3 linked regions of the Drosophila melanogaster genome follow. The protein of the gene in region 1 interacts with the protein of each later gene in a pairwise test. Each region holds a gene or a part of one and is shown in the gene's direction. Other genes may lie near its edges. The genes, in order: CG4116, CG17666 and aspr.

The links.
Region 2: the proteins of CG4116 (region 1) and CG17666 interact in a two-hybrid assay, tested with the Drosophila melanogaster proteins (one large-scale study listed by BioGRID).
Region 3: the proteins of CG4116 (region 1) and aspr interact in a two-hybrid assay, tested with the Drosophila melanogaster proteins (one large-scale study listed by BioGRID).

The regions. Positions count from the first base shown.
Region 1 is NC_004354.4:3,065,978-3,069,559, reverse strand, and holds CG4116 (uncharacterized protein), read left to right. Parts: upstream 1-1,997; coding exon 1,998-2,792; 3' UTR 2,793-2,945; downstream 2,946-3,582.
Region 2 is NT_037436.4:12,779,207-12,782,962, forward strand, and holds the start of CG17666 (uncharacterized protein), read left to right. Parts: upstream 1-2,118; 5' UTR 2,119-2,255; coding exon 2,256-2,311; intron 2,312-2,368; coding exon 2,369-3,756. Other genes in the region: CG10969 (uncharacterized protein), read right to left, coding at 1-1,815.
Region 3 is NC_004354.4:20,146,090-20,149,845, forward strand, and holds the start of aspr (asperous), read left to right. Parts: upstream 1-2,034; 5' UTR 2,035-2,169; coding exon 2,170-2,172; intron 2,173-3,756.

The DNA.
Region 1 (3,582 bases):
CTGGCAATTCTATTGCCAAACGCATTTTGCACTTCAATTGCACGTGCAAATGAAAATGGAAGGGGTGGGCTATTGGTGTGTTGGTGTGTTGCTGGAAAAGTCTGCGAAAAACTGAAAAATTCAAGCCTGTTAATATGCGTAAGTGTGTGGGGCAGGTGGGTGTTGGCTGTTGGATGTCGGATGTTGTGTGGTGGGTTGTGGGTGGTGGTTTGGCAAGTGGGTGGAATCTCCTGCGAGGAGTCCTGGCGTGAAGTTGTCGCTTTATTTTTCTTCTCGGGCTTCTGGTGCTGTCATTGATATGGCATTTTCCCCAACCACCCAAAAGTACCTCTGAGTACCTCCCAACCTCCATCCCATTTTTAGCCTCACCTTCTTTCGTTGTCGTTTTGTCGTCGCCTGTTGTTAATTGTCATTGCGTCGCTTTAAGCCGCTCAGTGGCAGGAAAATGGGAAATGGAAGCCTCACCTTGCGTGTGGGGTGGGGAAAATCGAGAGGTGGTGCCGGATAAAGTGAATCAAGAGGAAGGCCAAGGAGCAGGAAAGACTATCGGACATACTCTTGCCTTGCCGAATGTCACTGCAAATCGTTGAGCAAATTGACAGCTTTTAAGTTGACAAACAAATTATTAAGTATGATCATATTCAATATATTTATTTTCTATACGTTAGTATATATATGATATTACCAGTTCTATTTGAATGCACATCACTATAATACTATCTACTAATATTAGCTTTGAAACTAGTTTAGCCTGCGCATTATAATTCGTGTGGATAGTCCGGTTTAAAGATGATTTTAGGAGCATATGCTTCCCTTCGGTGTGGATGGATAGTTTCTCCCTTAGCCGTTGTTGTTATTGCCACTGTTGCTGTTTTCACGCGCGGTTAGCGCCTGTAATTGCATTGCCAAGTAAAGGACGAACCGCGAACAGTGAGCGACATTCGTATGTGTCTCTACGTTCGTGTGGCGCTCCATGTGTGCGCTGCACTGGCAGAAAACAATTGGTGGTTCTTAAAAGCGGAATTTGGGACATACTATCATCATATATCGCTACAATTACAAAAATATATGCTTAACATGGCTGCCCCTTTCTTTGTTTTTTCTTAGTTTAAGAGCAATCCTTTGTGTTTTTGGCCAGTGTAGTTTTGGTGCGTGTGTGTGAGCGTTGGCGTAAGTGAAATTTATTTCAACAGCCCCCGCCAGGCATTCAGCCCCAAAACTGTCGGTTGGCCAACTTAGGCGAAAAATTGAGAAGCAAGGCACCACCAGCAAGGCAGCATCGCATCAACGGCAAATGAAATGAGGCTGGCAAAAAGGGGGATTCCGGGGGTTAAATGCGCCCCAATAGGGGGCGCCATCTGCGGCACACTGGCGCCAAAGTGATGGAAACCATTCCGAATGCACAATCTCACAGCGGTTGATCCAAAAAAAAAAAAAAAAAGGAGTGAATGAAAATATGCAATTCTCAGAGAGAGAGAGAAAGCGTTAAGTGGGTGCATAAAGGGGCAACAGCGGTTTATGGGTTCAACTTTGTATCGTGCAGAGTATTTGCTCGGCTATAGAGCAGTATTCCGTTGCTAATAGAACCCTTAAAAGGTACAAAAACCAATATACGATTTGGATTTCAAATTCCCATTTATATTATTACCCACTGTGCCCGAAAAAACCCCCAACTGAAGCTGCAAGCAGACGTGTTTCTGTTGCTGATTTTAAATTTTAATTAAAGTGTGGCTCCTTGGTTTTTGGTTTTGGTTTTTGGCTTTGGTTTTGCTTTTCGGTTTCGGCTGCGACCACTTGAGGTTCACGATCCGCGGCAAAGCAAACAATGGCCTACAAGTAGGGGCACTTCTTGACACGCTCTTGCCACTTGAAAAGTCCAACTATTTGGCCTCGGGGCCAGCAAAAATGGTGCGAGAAGAATGAAGAAAGGCTTTCTAAAACCTATAACCTATATATATTGGCAAGCAAAATTCCGGGCATCATGGCATCCATGACCGATGAAAGTCGATTTCCGTCAACTCATGTTGGGCTATAAAAGTGCCAAAGATCTGCCCAATGGCACACACAGTTCGATGGTCCATCGTCCAGAAATGATCTACGCAATTCTAGTGCTCTGTCTGCTGGGCAGTTGTTGCCCAGCAATGGCCCAGAAGGTCGAAAAGGATCCGCTGGCCAAGGAACAAAATACCCGTTTGGCCGGCATCTATGTGAAGGATGGCAACGAAAATGGCCAGCTGAGATTCCTGGCATCGGGCTTGAACAGTGGCAGCAGCAGCACCAGCTCTTCAAACACCGGTATCAACTCGGCCCTGAATCAGTACATAACCAATAAGCAGGATATGCTGGAGCAACTGCGTCCCACTTCGGGCACCACATCAACGGGAACGGGAGCTGTTACGGGCACATCGACGGGAACAACAGGAACGACTTCGGGAACCGGAACTGGCCTGGTCACCACGACTTCCAATGGAGCTATCTATGTGAACCTGGGCAGTTCGGGATCCTCATCATCATCGTCTTCCTCCTCGTCGGCCACCAATGCGGCCATTAATCAGGTCATCTATGGATCCTCGCCAGTTGCCGGTCTCTTGCCGCAGATCGTTGGCCAGGCGGTGTCCAGTCGAGTGCGTCCCGGTGGCCAGAACAATAGGAGGCGCGTTCCCGCCCGTAGGCGCCGGGTCAACAAGAGGCGTGGCAGCATTAACAACAACAATCAGCGACGTCGCCGGCGTGGCAACAAGCGGGGCAAGAATAAGGCCCAGGTGATGGTGGTGCGACCAAATCGCGGTTGAGAAGAGGATCCACCGCCTTTCTTAGTTAAGCGAAAAATTACTTTTTTTTTGCCCCCCAGCCAAGGAATTTTTTTTTTTTTAATGATTACTATTAGTATGCGAGAAGGCAACCTTATTTATTTATTTAAATGATTGAAAGCAATTACACTCTGCAACCAAGGTGGTTTTATTCGAGGTCATTATGGCAAAGGCGTGAAATGGATAATTAAATTTTAGCTTTGGTATAACATGCATATTTCATGGACATCATTGCTCTCACCTTGTGTATGTTTTCCAATCGACCAAATTTGCGATTGCAAAGCCTCAAATTTGTGTAGGCCAGTGGATTTGGCGTAGTTGCACTAATTTATGGGCCAACTGGTGTTCATGTTCAAAGGGCCGCCAGTCGGTGTGTCTGCGAGGTGCGCTGGCCCGTTTAGAACCCCCTTGGTGAGCCCCTGGTCAAGTGCAAGACAAACGGTCTCCGGTCGGCTCTGCATGCGGCGGTCAATGTCTTGATAAATGTCTGCAGGATGGCGCCCGGGGAGTGGCGCCCGTTGCTCCTCGTCCTGGTCAGCAGGACGACCCCTCGTGCGGCGCCGCTGTTCCATTTCGCGAACCTCTAAATCACCGTCACGTGTCCGGGCTGTGTATTATGTGCTCATGACTGTAATGAGCCTGTAAGTGGACCTAATCAGTGTCATAATAATAGAAATTAATCACTGCAAGGCCATAGTGGCATGGGTGGTGAAAAATTGTGGAAAGGGGCGTGGAAGGCAAGAGGCCGAATGGAGGAGGCGTGGGCGCCCAC
Region 2 (3,756 bases), on another chromosome or scaffold:
CATTTGGCAAGGAAATTGTTGAGGATTCTGCTGGAAGTAGTTATTCTGATTTGGCATCGATAGTGGCACAGGATACAGACCAAACGGCATCTGTTGCTGTGACGACTGAGGTGCTGATGGCATGGTCCAAATCGTCTCCGACCTGGTGGACTCGATGGTTTGGCATGGAAAGCTAGCCGGCAAAGAATGCTGATCCACTTGCGAGTTAAATCCCTGATCCTCTTCGCCGTTTTCCATTGTTTCATCTGGTTGGGCATCTCCCACGTCGTGTTCCTCTGCCAGTACATCAATAAACTGAGTTTCTGGCGCCCAACGTGGGACGTCAGTGGCATTTTGGGACAGCACATGCATCTGTCGCACTCTTGTGGCTCCACACGCGCTATTCAACTGCAGTTGCACTTGTGCAATCTGCGCCTGAGCCTCGAGCATTTGCTTTCTTAGCTCCTCGGCCAGCATTTCGGTCAGGCCATAGTTGTTCTCCTCAATGCCTTGCTGTTGCATTTGTTGTTCCATTTGATCACAGGTATTCACTTGCTGAAGCTGCTGACAAGGATACACATTCTGCATCTGCGGCAGAACTTGCTGCTGCATCGACTGCTGCAAATTGTATGCAAATGCTTTGCCAGACTGCTGCTGCTCCTGACACTTGAGACATCCTTTTGGTTTCACATTGGGACAGGGTGGATTTCGTCCACAATTTCGTTGCTGTTGCTGGAAGCAAGATGGTTGCTGCTGCAAGCAAGATGGTTTCTGCTGCAAGCAAGATGGTTTCTGCTGCAAGCAAGATGGTTTCTGTTGAAAGCACGGTTGTTGCTGTTGAAAGCAAGGTTGTTGCTGCTGAGGACAAGATCGTTGCTGTCCAAACCAATTACCATTCTGTTGCTGCGGACAACCCGTGCACTTATTGCACCTCGAAATCGATGGCGGTTCGTTGTTCATGTTATCATTTTCACAATCGAGGCTGAGGAAATGTGCTTCGGTAACCTGGCAAGCGGTGACTATTTCCGCTTCACCCATAATTTGGTGTTCCTCATCGCATATGGTCACGATATTTCCGCAATTGGGGACGTCGGATTGAAACCATTGGCAAGTACCAGGACGATGTCGTGTGGGATACTCTCCTCGAAAGCAGGGAATTATCTTCGAGTTCGATGGCTTCGGTTCCGTTTCTGGTATACATTCTGTGGGCTTTTCTTCCTCTATTATAAAATTGGTTTTCGTTTCCGGTTTCAAGTTCTCATGCGTTTCCGGGATTGAATTATTTGTGTCTTTCACTTCTGTTTGCTTGTTTTCTTCGGTCAAACTCGGAACTCCGGAAGGTATCTTTTCGAACTCTTTTTCTCTGGCCTTGGCGACGGATGCCTCACTAACCAGCTCTGGTATCTTATTGAACTCTTCTTCCCTGCTTTTTGCCTTCACTGTGGGGGATTCATTGCGACGTTTGGCTGAGGCCATCATAGACTGACCAGGAGTCTTTGAATTGGGTGGATCTCCTCCCAACACTGGTTTCACCGGCATACCCGCCTTCAATCGAACCGATGCCTTGGGCTTACTGTGCGACATCAATGGCACAAACTCTGGACTTCCCATCGATCTGCAGACACTTGCCTGCCGGCGACGACGAGGTGTTGGTGGGCAGGATGATCGGGAACGCACGGCTTCCTGTCCAGACGGTAAGCTCTGAGCCAGGGCTCGCACCAGCTGCTGTCCGACTCGATTGCTGTATTGCTCCGATGCTATGTTCCTCCTCGGAGGAGGACTCGCATGACGCCAATAGGGACTGGGCCTGGTTGACTTGACTCCGTCATTGGGCATTTCTTCTTTTTTCCCAAATACAATTTTTTGTCTCAGTTATACAATGCTTCCGTTTAAATTTGTTTTTTGGCGTGACAAAGAATTTTGTAATGTCATTTTTTTGACCAAAACTAAAAAGAGAGTTTTGGTCGACATAAATAGTAAGTTAAATAAACCAAGGAAGTCTTTTTGTTTACAAGGTTTCTCTTATATTCATATCATATTATAATCTGTAAAGAACACATATATGAAGATGGTAGCACCACTTTCAAAACGTTGTTTTATCACAACTGATCATGCAATGATTTTAACAATATAGTCTTAGTTTAGGACATCAAAAATATAAATTGTACCATTTACTTCTACTTTTTTATGATTTTGACTACCGATGTTATGTTTGTGTACTCTTCGTAATTGACCATGAGTGAAGGTGGACTTTTAAACAGAACCAGGAGTTGAAAATGTGCGATCCATGTCGATATTTAAGGAGGTGCATAAGCTGCCATGGCAATGGCTGGTAAGTATAAGAATATAGTTAGTGTCTCAACCCAATTGCATTTATACTCATCCGCAGGTGCTGTCCTCGACCAAGTTGCTGTGAGCGATCTTGTTCCTCTAATATGAGGAATTGTCGCGTCGTGTTTTCTGGGGAGTTCCAAAAGTTTTCGGACATGGTGCCGCCCAGTTTTCTTCTAAAGACGCCAGAGCGCCCAAAGAAAAGGAAACGATCGAAAAGTTGCTCAGCCTGTGGGGACAATTGTAAGGATCCGTGTTTAAACATGGATGCATGTGCGGAGAGTTGTGAGAATCCATGTCAAGATGGTAAGAATGGATGCAAGAATCCTGAAGATTGCGCGCAAGACGATCTAGCTAGAACTGGAGCCTACGGAACAGGCTTTGGCTTCCAACCGGGACAACCGACTATTATTCCGTGTTATGGAACTTACGGACCGACAGGAAATCCAATGATTTTTGGTATCCCGCCACCGACTCAATATGGAGGCTTTGGTGTACCTGGTCCCATAGTTCTACCAGTGGCTCCACCATCCTCGGTAGGTCAGGGTGATCCAAGATCTATTCCAGCGGCAGGTCTACCCACACAGTACACAAATAAGTTTAATCCCTGTACCGGAGAAGTCTACCAATGCGGAGATCGCCAAATGCCACCTGGAAGGCCACAAGGAACGGCGCAAGTACCTTCCTATAATCAATTTATACAGGGTTTAGGCATGAGCTGTGCCCCCAATAGTCAGTATATTCCATTCGATGCAACATTCCAACAACGTCCAATAAATCAAATGCCAGTCACTCCTACCTCAGGAGGAAGTGCACCAGCTTATGGCCGAAATAATCAACCAATGAACTGTGAGCCCAACAATCAGAATTATAGCTATACTGTTCCCCAATCAACGAATCAAGTTCATGTTGGTGCTAACAGATCTGAAGTCTATAACCAGCAGAGTCAAGCCACACATTCAAGGCCAGTTCCCCAATTGGAGTCATCAAAGGGGCAACTGCCTCATGGTAACAACAGATCTAAATCTCCAAATCAACGAAGCCCATCTAGGGGAGATCGATCAGGCAGAGCTTATGCCAATAATAATTTTCCTGAAAATGTTCATGCTAGTCCAGGTGCTCAGAGGTCCAAGTCGCTCAGTCACCGAAATGAGTCGAGGGAAGGTCGTTCCGGAAAACCACAAGCCAGTAGAGCCACAACCAATTATCATTCTAATAGTGGTGGAGATAGAAATGTAGATCATAGGTCCGCGCCCAAGTCAATGGCATCCGCTGGTGAAGTGCGTTCTCGTGATAACAACAGATCGTACGATTCAAGAAATCGTAATAAATCTGTAGGAGCACCTACCAATCGACAACCCGTACTTTATGACCAGCAGAGGGTGGGCATGGGCATTGATCCATCCAATCAGTATTATCCGTACAATGAATGCGCTCCACTTAATG
Region 3 (3,756 bases), about 17 Mb from region 1:
GGCACAAGGCACCATGATGGAATATGATTGATATTGGGCGGTATGAATTATGAGGAGGCAGGGGAGTGGCTCCATTTCGGTTTGGGATCCAGGATCCCGGACAACCCAATCCATCAGGGCAACCTGTCGCGCGACCTTGACTGGCTGTTGGAAAGGAAAGGAGACAAAATATAGGCAGCTAAAATATGGTAAGCTAAGTGTTGGCCCAGAGATTTGTAGGCCAAGACGGTATAATTAAGTTGGCCCAAAGAACAGGTGCCCGTATCGGTCGTCAGGTGAATTCTCATTCAATTATGGCCAATTGGCGTACGTTTCAATTTGCAGTTTAATCTGTAATATTCCCATATCGATTCGATTTGCGGAGCTTAAGCGATGCCATTCAATGATGCCATTTCATTTGAAAATGGTAGTCGATTGCAAATTGGCAAATGGTCATTATCTTATTGCTATAGGTCAAACCATCTCTATTATTCATTCTAACCAATGCCCACGCAGCCAGCAGAAGTCAAGATTCTCGTTTTAATTGGCTCGATTCCAGTGCAGATTCGTTTGTTCTTAATCCGTTCTTTTTGATATCGAATGAAAGTGGAGCCGGTCTTGCTAAGCTTATATTTTAAACTCGAATGCCATTGAAATGGACTTAGGAAACGGTAGAGTGAGTTAGTGAAGATGTTCAATGAAATACCCAATTGGCTTATTGTGTGGTATGAGTGAATCGGAATACCTCAAGCTAATCAAGAATATTTACGGCCTCTCAGTTTTTTTTTTTTTTCAAATTTTATTTTCTTTCATTTATGTATATTCTCTTTTCGCTTACTATTTGAACGGAAATGGGCGATTTTTTGTTCTCCTCAATTTCCGACATATTTCAGATTGAAAAATATGTAAATTCGTGAAATTAATTAAATTTTGTAATGCGATTATCTACATATATCTTATGCCCAATTAAGAAGAAATAGAAAGAAGAAAAAACCTTAGCGAAATGACCATATTGAATATTTCCCCCAGTTAGTAGTAATAGGCATCCGGTGCGGATAAGATACATTCTGTTTGAAGAATCGGTATAAATTATAGTATAATAGATTTGTAAATTTAAATGACATAACTGTCTTTTAAATCCTACAAAGATAAAGAGTCGCTTAGTTTTGGATGCTTTCAGAAATATGTGTGTACATATATTACCAGGTACCGCCTAGTACTAGCGACCTGCCCATTGTGTCAAGTGGGCAATTTCTTCGTTCACAGCCAAGTTGCCTACGATCCGGAGCCGTGTTTAGTAGGAAGCCCAGCCAAGTTCGACCCACGGCACTTGGATGCAGCGGCCCACGCAGAAATCGAGCCATCATAGCAAAGGCATGACCAAAACAATCCGAAGCAAAGTCGCGTCAAGTACGCGTATATAAATAGCCCGATGCCCAGGCAAATATATGTATATATATGTATATGTATGTGTGTACGAATGACTCAGTCTGAGAAGCGATTTGGACTGAAATGATTTTAGCTAAAATCGAGCAGCACAATATACAAAGTCAACAAACAGCAAAACAAGCTTGTCAAACAGAGTTATGAGACAGAATGCTGGTGCATTGGGAAAAATAGTTTTCCAACTGACAGGCTGAACAAATATATATAACTAAATTAACTACTTCATCAATTTGATCTACTGCTTTCGTTACTCGAAATGTTTCTAGTTTAGCAAGTTGAACTTATGCAGACATAATGGTAAATTAGTTATAAAACTAATGAATTTGGTAAATTCCGATCTTTATTTTGTTAAAATTACAACAACTATTGGATGCTACTACCTGAGGAGAGATAATTTACTTTACAAATCTTTAATATCAAGCTATACTATAGTTTTTTCTCTGTGTAAGTGGAAGGGTTGTGGATGCGGGGTAGAGGGGAATTCGGGAAGGGAAGGTGAGCAGATCAGAGCAGAGCAGAGCAGCTGAGAGATGACGCCAACGTCGCTCAGCTGTTTCTCGGCCAAGTTAAGAGTTGCGGCCTTATAAATAGCCCAAGCTCGTCTAGAAGCCGACTCAGTTGAAAGCGAAGCGTGCCAAGTGGGAAATCGCAACCATTTATCAGTTGACACTTTTTGTTTTGTTTTTTATTTTACGTTCTTTATCTGCTGTAGTGCTAGTGTTTTCTAAGAACTGAACCCCGAAAATGGTGAGTTGCAGTGGGAATAACCAAAATCAATATGTATATATAAACGTGTGTTAAGGAATATATCCTTTTTTTTTTTTAAATCATCTAAACTGAAGCAATCTATCAACGATGGATAATTTATAAACAATTTTATAAAAGTAATAAAAATGGGTTCGATTTAAGGAAAGAATCTGAATCACGAATAAGTATATAGATTTAAACTTGCACATTTATTTGCTGTTTATTTTCTTCACCGCGAAAACTTAAGTGAAAAAATTACGCACAAAGGCAATACATAAAATATGCATTCAGTAAATGATACGTGAATGGAATATTGATGTACTTAAAGCAAACACGACAAAAAAAATATTCATTTCACAATGTAAGGACTTAACTTTGCTATTTGCTATTTACTTCCGGCTAGATGAATAGTGGTGAATGGATTTGCAAATACATCGAATGAACCAAGAAATATTCCCACATACTCGTAATGTTTCTGAAGCCCACGATCGGTTTATTCTTTTGAGTGTCTTCGATCTGCCTTTTATCTGCCCATTTTTTTGTTTTTTTTGGCGATGATCAATCACTCAACGCTTTTTAAGCTGCCCAAGTAAACATCAAGCCCATTATTCATTTGTTTGTGCACAAAGCCAAAAACACAAACCAATTAGTTTCTAGCACTTTAGCATAGCTTGTTATTTTAATTGCCATTACGAGAAGAGTAAAAAGTCCAATAGATTTGAATTGTTTACCTTTTTACCTACTTATGTTGAGCACTTAACATTTTCTTGCTCATTATTTAAATTTAGAAAGCATTAATTTAATCTAAACTCTGACAGGTTTTACGTTTTATTTAACTAATTCAAGATTGAACAGATTATATAGTTGACTATTTAGTTCTCGCCCTTCCAAAAGCAATTATTTAAATGTACATATGTATGTACATATATAATATAACAAATATGGCTCTGATTCACTTCACTTCCCTTGCGCAATGTAATCAGATTATAAATCACCCTGCAAGATGTGTGATTTAAGAAAAAAATCCAATTTCCTCCCTCGGTGGATCCATCCGTGCCATTTACGCGATGATCGACAACTTAGTTGATACGAACATGGACTACCATATTGGTCATTCAGAGTAATTCGAAAAGGCAGCCGACCCCCATTTGCATATTCTTATTGTATGCCGATATTTGAATAATTGTTTTTAGCCCGAATTGAGCTTCCAAAGAAGCGGACAACAAGTTTATCACCCATGTGTCATTCGCCAACAATGATCGCCACCTTGAGAGCGAAGCCATATCATCATCTCGATCGTCTCGTCTCGTCTCGTCTCATCTCCATGCCCAGTTAGCCCAAACATGGTGCCACCAGAATCCCACTGACCACTGAGAGTCCAAGTCCAAGCCAATGTTTGCTACCAAACAGCGGATCATCGAGTTAGTCATGTTTATTGGGCTTTTTCAGAACTCGAATGCGATTATGACACATAAACCGGCAAAGGGGGCGTGATACTCGCTTCTCGATTGAGATGTTTGTTCATATCGAATACTTTAGTGAATGAATCCCAATCCAGTTCAAACTCATTTCATTCGACTGGCT